Coturnix japonica: one gene and its partner. The protein of the gene in region 1 purifies or fractionates together with the protein of each later gene. This does not show direct contact. Links are inferred from orthologs where the notes say so. Each region holds a gene or a part of one and is shown in the gene's direction. Other genes may lie near its edges. The genes, in order: SDC2 and CAMKV.

Region 1 (4,464 bases):
AGGAATCTATTAAACAACCTGTTTGTGCATGACGCCTGCCAGGAGTAGACCATTGAAAATCTGCTGAGATTTCAGCAGTGAATGCAGCCTAAAAATCAATGACACGGCATGTCTGGGAGGTAGGTCTGGAAATAGCATGGCCAGCGCTGCTGAGAAGTATCACGTTCCTGGCAGTGGGAACACTCAGGACGTGGCCACCTGCCCCATGGGGACATGAGTCCCGCTGCTCCCCAGGACACAGCCGTATCACCGGCATGTGTGGGGTGCCTTTGTCTGGGAGAGGCTGGGAAGACGACAGACTGCGTGTGCTTAATTAACCACCTTTGGTTTTGTTTTTCTGTTTCCATAGCAGGGACTGGAGGCAGATGGGATCTCAGCACCACTCAAAGGCCAATGCAGGTAAGGCGATGGGCATGGAGAAGCACCTGCACTGGGATCCTCATGCTTCTTGCTTCCATGGGGTCCTCTGAGTGGGACAGGCTTGTCTAAGAGTGATCATTATGGTCCTTGTGACTACCTTAGTTTGGCTATAAACACAGCCTGAAGCTCAGAATTGAATCAAATGCAGTTGGTTGTAATCAAGAGCAATATTTCACCTTCCTGTGTCCAGTGACTGATGTAACACATGGATACGCTTGGCAGTGGAAACGCACTGGCACAGGTACCCGAGTCAGAACGATGCTCCTAAGCTCTGCAATACTACCACTTTCCCTGCATGATAAACACCATGGGCCAGTCCCAGCAAGACCTCTTGGCTTCGCTTCTGGAGTGCGCATCCTTGGTGCTGTCAATATTTGTTTTGAAGACATTCTTCCTGGCTCCATGTATGAGACACAAATCACAGCCACTCTCTTATTTCCTAAAAGTTTCAGGTCTTCTGAGAAAAGTCTGGGAAAAAAAGCAAACCAAAATGAGCTGCCATTTTGGCACCCATGAGCCTCATCCTTTTTGTTTCCCAGCACCTGATTGCTGCCTTCTAGGTAACTGGGGGAGGATGTGAGAGGCAGCGCGGCTCGGTCCGGCGGTTGAGGACACAGAGCAGAGGGAAGAATTCCCTTGAAATAAATAAATAACTATATGATAAAAAAGCAAGCAAGCAAACAAACAAACAAAAAACAGCAGAGGGAGACTTTCCAGGTCCCTGCTTCTATCCGGGTCCAGCCCTCTCATGTTTTCCACTGGGGGGGAGGACGGCAGAGTAGAGGATAGAGAGGGGGCGGTGGTTATTTTTTTTGGTGGAGGGGAAGGTGGAAAGTTGCTTGAATTTGCGAGGGGCGAGAGCCGGCGGCGGAGACGCGCCGCCTCCTTCCACTGGCTGGGGGAGCTGCCAATCTGTGTTGTAATCCTGCAGGAATTTCTGCGGGGTTTAACTGGGAGCCGCGCTGCCGCTGCCGCGCACACGGGGCGGAGGGCGGGAGGGAAGGAAGGAAGGAGAGGAGCGGGCGGCGAAGAAGAAGAAGAAGAAGGAGGAGGAGGAGGAGGAGAAGGTAGCAGCAGCAGCAGCAGCAGCAGCAGCAGCAGCAGCAGCAGCAGCCGGGCAGCGTTGTGCCGCCGGGCAGCGTTGTGCCGCCGGGCAGCGCGGAGCTGAACGCCGACAGCAGCGGAGCGGAACGGGCCGGAGGGCGCCCGCGGCCCTGCCCCGCGCCCCCGGGCGCTGCCGAGCGCAGCGGCCCCGCTTTCTCCTTTGTGCCCGGCCACAGGCGGCCGCCGCGCCGGCTCCTCGGGAAGAATGCGGTGCGTGTGGCTCGCGCTCACCCTCAGCTTCGTGGCCTGCGCCTCCGGGCAGCCGGTGAGTGAGCGAGCGGCAGGGCGGGGGGACGGGACAAGGACGGGACGGGGGCGGCCACCTGGGCTCCGTCCGCAGCGCTGCCCCCGAGGAATGTCCTCGATAGGAGCAGTGGGAGCGCCCCTCCAGACCCGACTTCACCGCGACGCCCCGACCCGAGGAGGTGCGGGTCCGCGTCCCCCCGGCGGCGCCTTCCCCCTGTTCCCCGCGGCTCGACAGGCTGCTACGGAGGGCACCTAATGAGTTAATTGGCCGTGGCTATGCGGCTCGGTACGCGCCCCATGACCCTCGCTTCCCCGCGGGGTGCGCGCCCATCCCGGCTGCCCTCCCCGCCCGGGCTGGCTGCGGATAATGCCGCTGTTTACGCTTCTCGCAGCCACAAGTGTCTCCTCTGAGCGGGGAACTCTGCTTAATGCAATTAACTCCGTTGTCGGGATTTGTACCTCCCGAAAAGCCGCTCCTCTGCGCAGCGCTCCCGCCCCGCGCTGCGGGCGGATCGGGAGAGGATTCGGGCTTCGCCGGCGGCGCTTCGGGACGGTGCCGGGGCGGAGGGGGATGGAGGAGGAGGAGGGAGCCGAGAAAAGAACGCGGTTACAGCGTTGGGACAAATATTAGGAAATAATAAATGGAGGTTTCAGTCCGAAATTAAAATACCGTGACAATTTAATCCAATTAAAATGAGCTGCTCCACTGAACTAAATAATGTCACCGGCTCGGGTTCGCTTTTGAAGTTGCCTGGCTATTGTATAAATAAGCCCCGTCGCAGCTTTCGTGCGGTCCGCCTCATCATTAGTGATTCCGAAGGATACAATTGCAAAACGCTTTTCTTGAGGGCTAATTAAGACCGAGTTGTGTCGAGCCCGGACTCCCGTTCCCGCTATGCGCGCTCCCCCTTGCTGTATGTTTTAGTTTCATAGGAACGCTACTGTTACGAAGTTCTCTGATGGCGGAGTAACTGCAACTGCCACAGTCATTAGTTAAGTATTAAGTTGGATGGTTTTGCCTTGGGATGAGCAGGCTCCTGCGGCTGGAACGGGGGGAGCCGTGCTGCCGGCCCTGAGCAGCGCCCTGACTGCTGCCAGAAAGTTGTGGGCAGATGGGAGAGGTGAAGGGAGGTGGATTTTTCTCCCCCCTCCTTTTTTCCTCTTTGGCGGCAGCTACGAGGTCCTTTAAGGAGGAGTTTTGTAGACTGGTGTCTGGGAAAAGACGGATGCTAAATCTTGTCTGTGCAGAACGCTGTCCTGGTCCTAAGTTGGATTTTATCTGGATGCTTACAACAACCCTGCAAGCTTTTGGAGTACTGACAAATGGTTTTAGCTCCTAAGTTCTTTTCCTTTGTTTGATTCTTGAAGAAGTATGTCCTGTGTTTGCTTCGTGTAACTACCAAGCCCCGCTATTTACTGGGGTGGACCCCGTTGGTGTTAATCACGTTAAAAACATACTGGGAATGTAGTAGGGAGCTGCGTGTCTGTGTGCCCTGGTGTTGGCTCTTGTGCTGCAGATGTACTGTGGTGTGCGGTGTCAGCTTGGCATCAGGATGCAGAGGGTGCCGGGCAGCTGTACCCTGTTGTGCCTGGCTGCAGGAGGTGGCAAGTGCCCACATCAGAGCTGGCAGATGGCACTGGGCTCACAGGGTACTTCGCTGTGCAGGGGGAGATGCTGGATATCAGTGGGGTCTGGTAACATCAGCAGATGTGAAGGCACTTTGAGACTCACCCAGGCTTGGGTGAATTGTGGAAAAGGTGTTCTTTCTGGTTCCCTTTTAGGAGAGGGAAAGAGAGTGATGTGAAAGTGCTGGAAAAAGAAAAGGCCAGCTCTCTAAGTGTGAGTCAGGTGTGTCTTTTATGAGGTTGGGTTCAGTCTTGATGATAGCAGGAGTCAACGCTTGCTGATTTTAATAGCAACAGAGAGCAGTGCCAAGTATCTCACTGTCCTTGTCAGTTCCCATTCTGCCGAGGCTGATAAACCTTTCTGCTTCTTTCTGCTCCTCATCAGTAGGACTAATGGCTTTCCAGGGCTTGTGTGATGCTCTGATCCTCTCCGCAAGCCAAGGTGGGTGCAGGGAAGACTTGCTGGCAAACAGGTTTCTGTGTGTGCTGCACTGTAATCCTGCTGCTCTCACAAATGGGAGAACAGTCGTGGCTCTCCTCCTGTGTAGTGGTGTATCTTGAGTCAAAGGACTCTGCTTCATGCCAACTCCCCAGCACTGTGTGCGTAGTGTTCTTTAAAATAGAGCACTGCAGCACCAACATCAACTATGTGGTCTGTCTGTTCCTTTTGTAAGCATCTAAGCACTGGATTGTTGACATATACGCTATTATTGAAGGATTACTTGGGTAATAATTTGTGTATTTTTGAGAAATATTTAATATTTTGGAAGCACGGTGCTGTAATTTTTTCTGCATTTGTTTCTAATCATTACTTTGCTTTTGGAATCTGGAAAATGGATCCCATGTTGGAGAGGGTGAATGTTTGTTTTGGTTTTCAAACACGCAGCTTGGTTTTGGGGATGGTAATTACAGGAGGAGAGAAAACTGCTGAAGAGATGGCTGATGTTTCAGATTTACATTCTGTGAGTGTCTCTCCTAAGCACGTTTAAATGTGCATTGCCAAGTAAATTCCAAAGAAAGATAGGAAACTTTTAAGTCTTGATTTATTTCCACCCTTCCTCAGCTCAC
Region 2 (4,401 bases), on another chromosome or scaffold:
ACAGCAGGCACAAAAGCTCAGCAGAGCCCATTGCCACACAGCAAGGTGCTGGCTGGGATGGGAGCCCAGGCTGAGCCAGGGCTGGAGGCACTATGGGGCCCAGAGCTGTTCTGCTGCAGGCACAGAGCTCATGCCAACAGGCAGAGCAGTGCAGCACAGCACCGTTCTGCCCCTCGCGCATACAGCATCTGTGGGGCAGCCCCAGAGCAGAGCGGGCACTGCTGAGTAATTGTGAGTTACACTCCAGGATCCCGGGTGGGCAAAGATTAATAACAGAGCCGTGCGCTGCTTCCAGGCTGTGTGATTAAACTCTTGATTAGAAGCTCAATGTACGGCGCTCTGCTAATTCCCCCGAGCTCACGCGCTGTTAATTACATGGTGTGCGTGGCAGTGAGGCCGGGGCTGTGGGGGCTCTGGGTCTTGACAAGGGTCTGTGAGCAGTCAGGGCGAGAAGGACGGAGCCTGAAGGAAAGTGCCCAGCTCCAGCAGGGTTGCACTCTTCCTATTCCATCCCATTCCATCCCACCCATCTTTATTCTGTTTAATCCATCCCACCTTGTGCTGTCCTATCCTATTTTATCTTATCCTATCCCATCCCACTCATCCCACCTTGTCCCACCTCATCCATCCCATCCCATCTAACGCATACCATTCCATCCCATCTCTTCCACTGTCCTATCAGATCCTGTCCTGACCCATCCTACCCATTCCATCCCAGCCATACCACTCATCCCATCGCACCATCCCATCCACCCCATCCTATCTCATTCATCTACTTCCATCCCATCCATCCTATTAGCCCCATCCCAATCATCCCAATCCATACCATCGATCCCTCTCTATCCCATCACACTCACCCTATCCAACCCCTCCCAATCATCCCAATCCATATTATCCATCCAACTCCAGCTCATCACATCAATCCCATCAAATCCATCCCAATCCATCCTATCTCCTCCAAATGTCCTGTCCCGTCCTATCACACCTCATCCACCCCATCCCACCCGTTCTGATCCATCCCACCCCATCCTGTCCCATCCTACGCACACCATTCCATCCATCCCATCCCATTACACCCATTCCATCCAACTCACCTCGGTCCATCTTACTTCCTCTGTCCTACCCTGACCTGTCCTTCCATATCCCATCCATCCCAACTCATCCACCCCATCCCCTCCATCCCATCCCATCCCATCCATCCCATCCCATCCCATCCCATCCCATCCCATCCCATCCCATCCCACCCCACCCCACTCGCTGCCCATGATGTCACTCCGTTGGCTGCAGCTGTCCCAGCGCTCCATCCCTTTAGGTGTCCCCGCATCCCCCCACCCCTCGCGGTGTCACAGCGATGCCACGCACCCCACTCCCGTGGGTGGCGGCTCCCGCACCAAGAGGGGGCGGGTCGCAAAGTTTGGGGTTACGTCACGGGAGGGGCGGGGGGACCCCACCGGAGGAGGGGCGGCACCCGGCGGCCCCACCCCCCCCAATTGCCGCGCCGGGCGCGCGGGGCCGCGCCGCGACGGAGCGACGGCGGTGCTCGGCTCGGCTCGGCTCGGCTCGGCTCGGCTTCGCACCGCTCCGCACCGCCCGGCACCGCGCGGCTCCCCAAGAGCGGCGGCCCCGGGCCGCGCCCCCCGTTGCTGTCGGAGAGGCGAGAGGTGAGCGCGGCGGGACGGCCCCGGGGGGATGCCGAGCCGAGCCGGGCTGAACCGTGCCGCCCTCGGGGCGTGGGGCTGCTGGGCCGGGCCGGGGGCGTCGCTGGGGATCGCCATGTGTTGGCCCGGGGCTGCCCCTCCGTATCCGTGCCTCATCCCCCCGTGCCGTGCCCGTGTGCGCCCCGACGGCCGCCCCGCGCCGCCCCCCGCTGCCGCCTTCCCCGACCCCGGCGGGCGGCCGAGCTGCCGTCCCGTCCCAACCCCGCTCCATCCCCGTCCATCCCATTCATCCCACCGCATCCCGTACCACCTCATCTCGTCCCGTCCCATCGCATCCCACCACACCCCACCCCATCCCATCGCTGCCGGACAAGCTTTGTATCCTTCCCCGCCCGCTCTCCGCTGCTGCAGCCCCCAGCTCGCTCCTGGGCAGATGCATCCTGGTTGGGGGGCACCGGGCTGTAGGGACCCCCCGGCCCCGTCTCTGTCCGCATCCCAGGAGCTCCCTTTGGGTGCAGCGCTGCGGGCTCCCGTAGCCCCTCCACTCTGCTGCCGCCCGCACTGTGGACGCTTGTGTCCGCTTTCCTCTGCTACAGCACTCTCGTGGGATGGGGGGTGCGGCGGGGACCCTCTGGCAGCGCGGCTGGGGGCTGCAGGTGCGAGGGGCTGCAGGTGAGGCTGGCTGAGCTGCAGCTGGGGGTCCCCGAGCCGTGGGGCAGAGCTGAGCTCCGGGATGCTGGGGGGATGCTGGTGAGGGCTGCACGGCTGCGTCATCCCGTCCGCACCCGGCCACCCACCTCCCGCTATTGTCTTACACCCGCTGTTGCTTCTGCTCCCAAATTAGCTGCTTCAGAAGGGGGGGGGGGCCGGCTGCGTGCGGGTGCCAGAGCAGCATCCAGCCTCCCTGCTGCGCCCAGCTCTCACCTGCAGGACATGCCGGGGATGCTGACCCGGGGCAGAGGACGGTGCTCAGCCCGGCAGGATGGCACCCGCTCAGCCAGCAGGAGCTGCTGGGATGGGCGCAGGTCAGCCGAGCGCTTGCAGAGGCAGCAATCAGATCCCTATCTGTCATCCCATCGGGTCCCTGCATGGCTCATCCACGCAGCACGCCGGCAGCTCATCATCCCAGCCCTCCCAGCCGGCCACTGGCTGCGGGGACAGCCCTCGTCCCCTCGCCCAGGGGCAGCGGCACGGCACAGCCTGCGTTGTGTGGCACGGGGACACTCGGAGGAGTCAGGCAGGGCATGTCCCCTGTTGGGCTGAGCCCAGGGAAGCCAGGGAGGCTTCAGCAGGTCTGTAGCTTGGGGTTGAGTTCTTCTGCACCCACGGGTGCTTTGCTTCTCTTTTGGGAGTGGGCGCACTCTGAGTGCGATGGGGCCGGCTGCTCTCACCTGGCACAGGCTGATGCCCTGGTGCTGCACAGCGAGGGGCTCCCATCCCGCAGGCAGGGCTGGATGGAGGCAGCGAGCGCACGATGGAGCATCCCCACACCCCTGCATCTCTGTCCCCACACCCCCCTCGGGGTCACCCACCCCAGGGATCATCCCTGTGCCCGCACATGGTGCCACAGACAAGGCCCCCATCGGGGGTCGGCGCGGCATTGCCGGGGCTGCGCAGCGCAGCAGGTCGGGTGCTGCGGGTGCTGCCCGTCCCTGCCCCCGCCGCAGGATGTGCCGCTTTCTGCATCTTCAGCTCCCATCGCCATAGCAACAGGCTCAGCGCTTGGGTACCCGCCGCGCCGGCTCCTGCATCCCGCTCCGCCATCCTGCCACCGGGACCGGGGCGGCGGGTGCTGGCAGCGCGGTGCGGTGCGGCACGGCACGGCTTGTCATCCCGGGAGCTGGGGGCGATCGGTGCCTCAGGCACCACACCAGCATCCCGTTGGACGTCCCGCTCAGGCTGAGCGGGGCCACGGAGCCCTTCTCTTCCTGAAGCATCAGAAAATAACATCCGTTCAAACTTCCTCCCTGAACGGGATGGGAAAGAGGAAAAAAAAATCACTTTCTGGGAACGGGTTTTTTTGGCAGCAAGCTCCAGAGAAGGGGCTGGGATTGGAGGGATCCTGCCAGGAAGGCAGAGGGCACAACACCATCCCCGAAGGGCAGGGTGGCAGCATGCAGCAGGCGATGCTGGAGCTGAAAAAGCATCACCACAGGGCAAAATGGGGCTGAGGAACCAGTCTACTCGCCACACCACCCGGCGAGCTGCTCATGGCTCTGCCTATGGAATAGATTTGTTACCAAGCTGCAAAGCTGGTGGGGCAGAGCGGCCGGACGCCACGGGGATGGGCTGCACTCTGTCAGGTTTTATGCTGCTCAGGAGGGATGGGTGCGGGCAGCGGGGCTGGGGCTCTCACGGCTCCTCTGCCTCTGCAGCACTGGGCCCTGCGATGCCGTTTGGCTGCGTGACACTGGGGGACAAGAAAGACTACAACCAACCGTCCGAGGTGACCGACAGATATGACCTGGGCCAGGTCATCAAAACGTGAGTGCATCCCTGCCCAGCCCCAGGAGCGCCCATGGGGACCCCCACCCTGCACCTCTTGGGGAGCGCGGTGCCTTTGGGGCTGGGGTGCGTTCCCTCCAACGAGTGCTGATTCCAGGAGGGTTTTTGCCGTCTGCTCTGAGCACAGAATCGCTGCCGGTGCTGAGGCTGCTGCTGCTGCTCGCCGCAGCCTGGCGCCTGCGGTTAACCCTCCCTCCTCCCTCTCAAATATCTGCTGGGATTGCAGCAGTTCCTCAAA

What was found.
Region 2: the proteins of SDC2 (region 1) and CAMKV purify together in Homo sapiens (affinity purification with mass spectrometry; 3 studies listed by BioGRID and IntAct, counting the BioPlex papers as one, with this or other methods). This does not show direct contact. The link is inferred for Coturnix japonica from reciprocal best matches to the Homo sapiens genes SDC2 and CAMKV.

The regions. Positions count from the first base shown.
Region 1 is NC_029517.1:114,934,401-114,938,864, forward strand, and holds the start of SDC2 (syndecan-2), read left to right. Parts: upstream 1-1,465; 5' UTR 1,466-1,729; coding exon 1,730-1,789; intron 1,790-4,464. UniProt on the Homo sapiens protein: Cell surface proteoglycan which regulates dendritic arbor morphogenesis.
Region 2 is NC_029527.1:1,485,407-1,489,807, reverse strand, and holds the start of CAMKV (caM kinase-like vesicle-associated protein), read left to right. Parts: upstream 1-1,541; 5' UTR 1,542-1,661; intron 1,662-4,033; 5' UTR 4,034-4,047; coding exon 4,048-4,142; intron 4,143-4,401. UniProt on the Homo sapiens protein: Does not appear to have detectable kinase activity.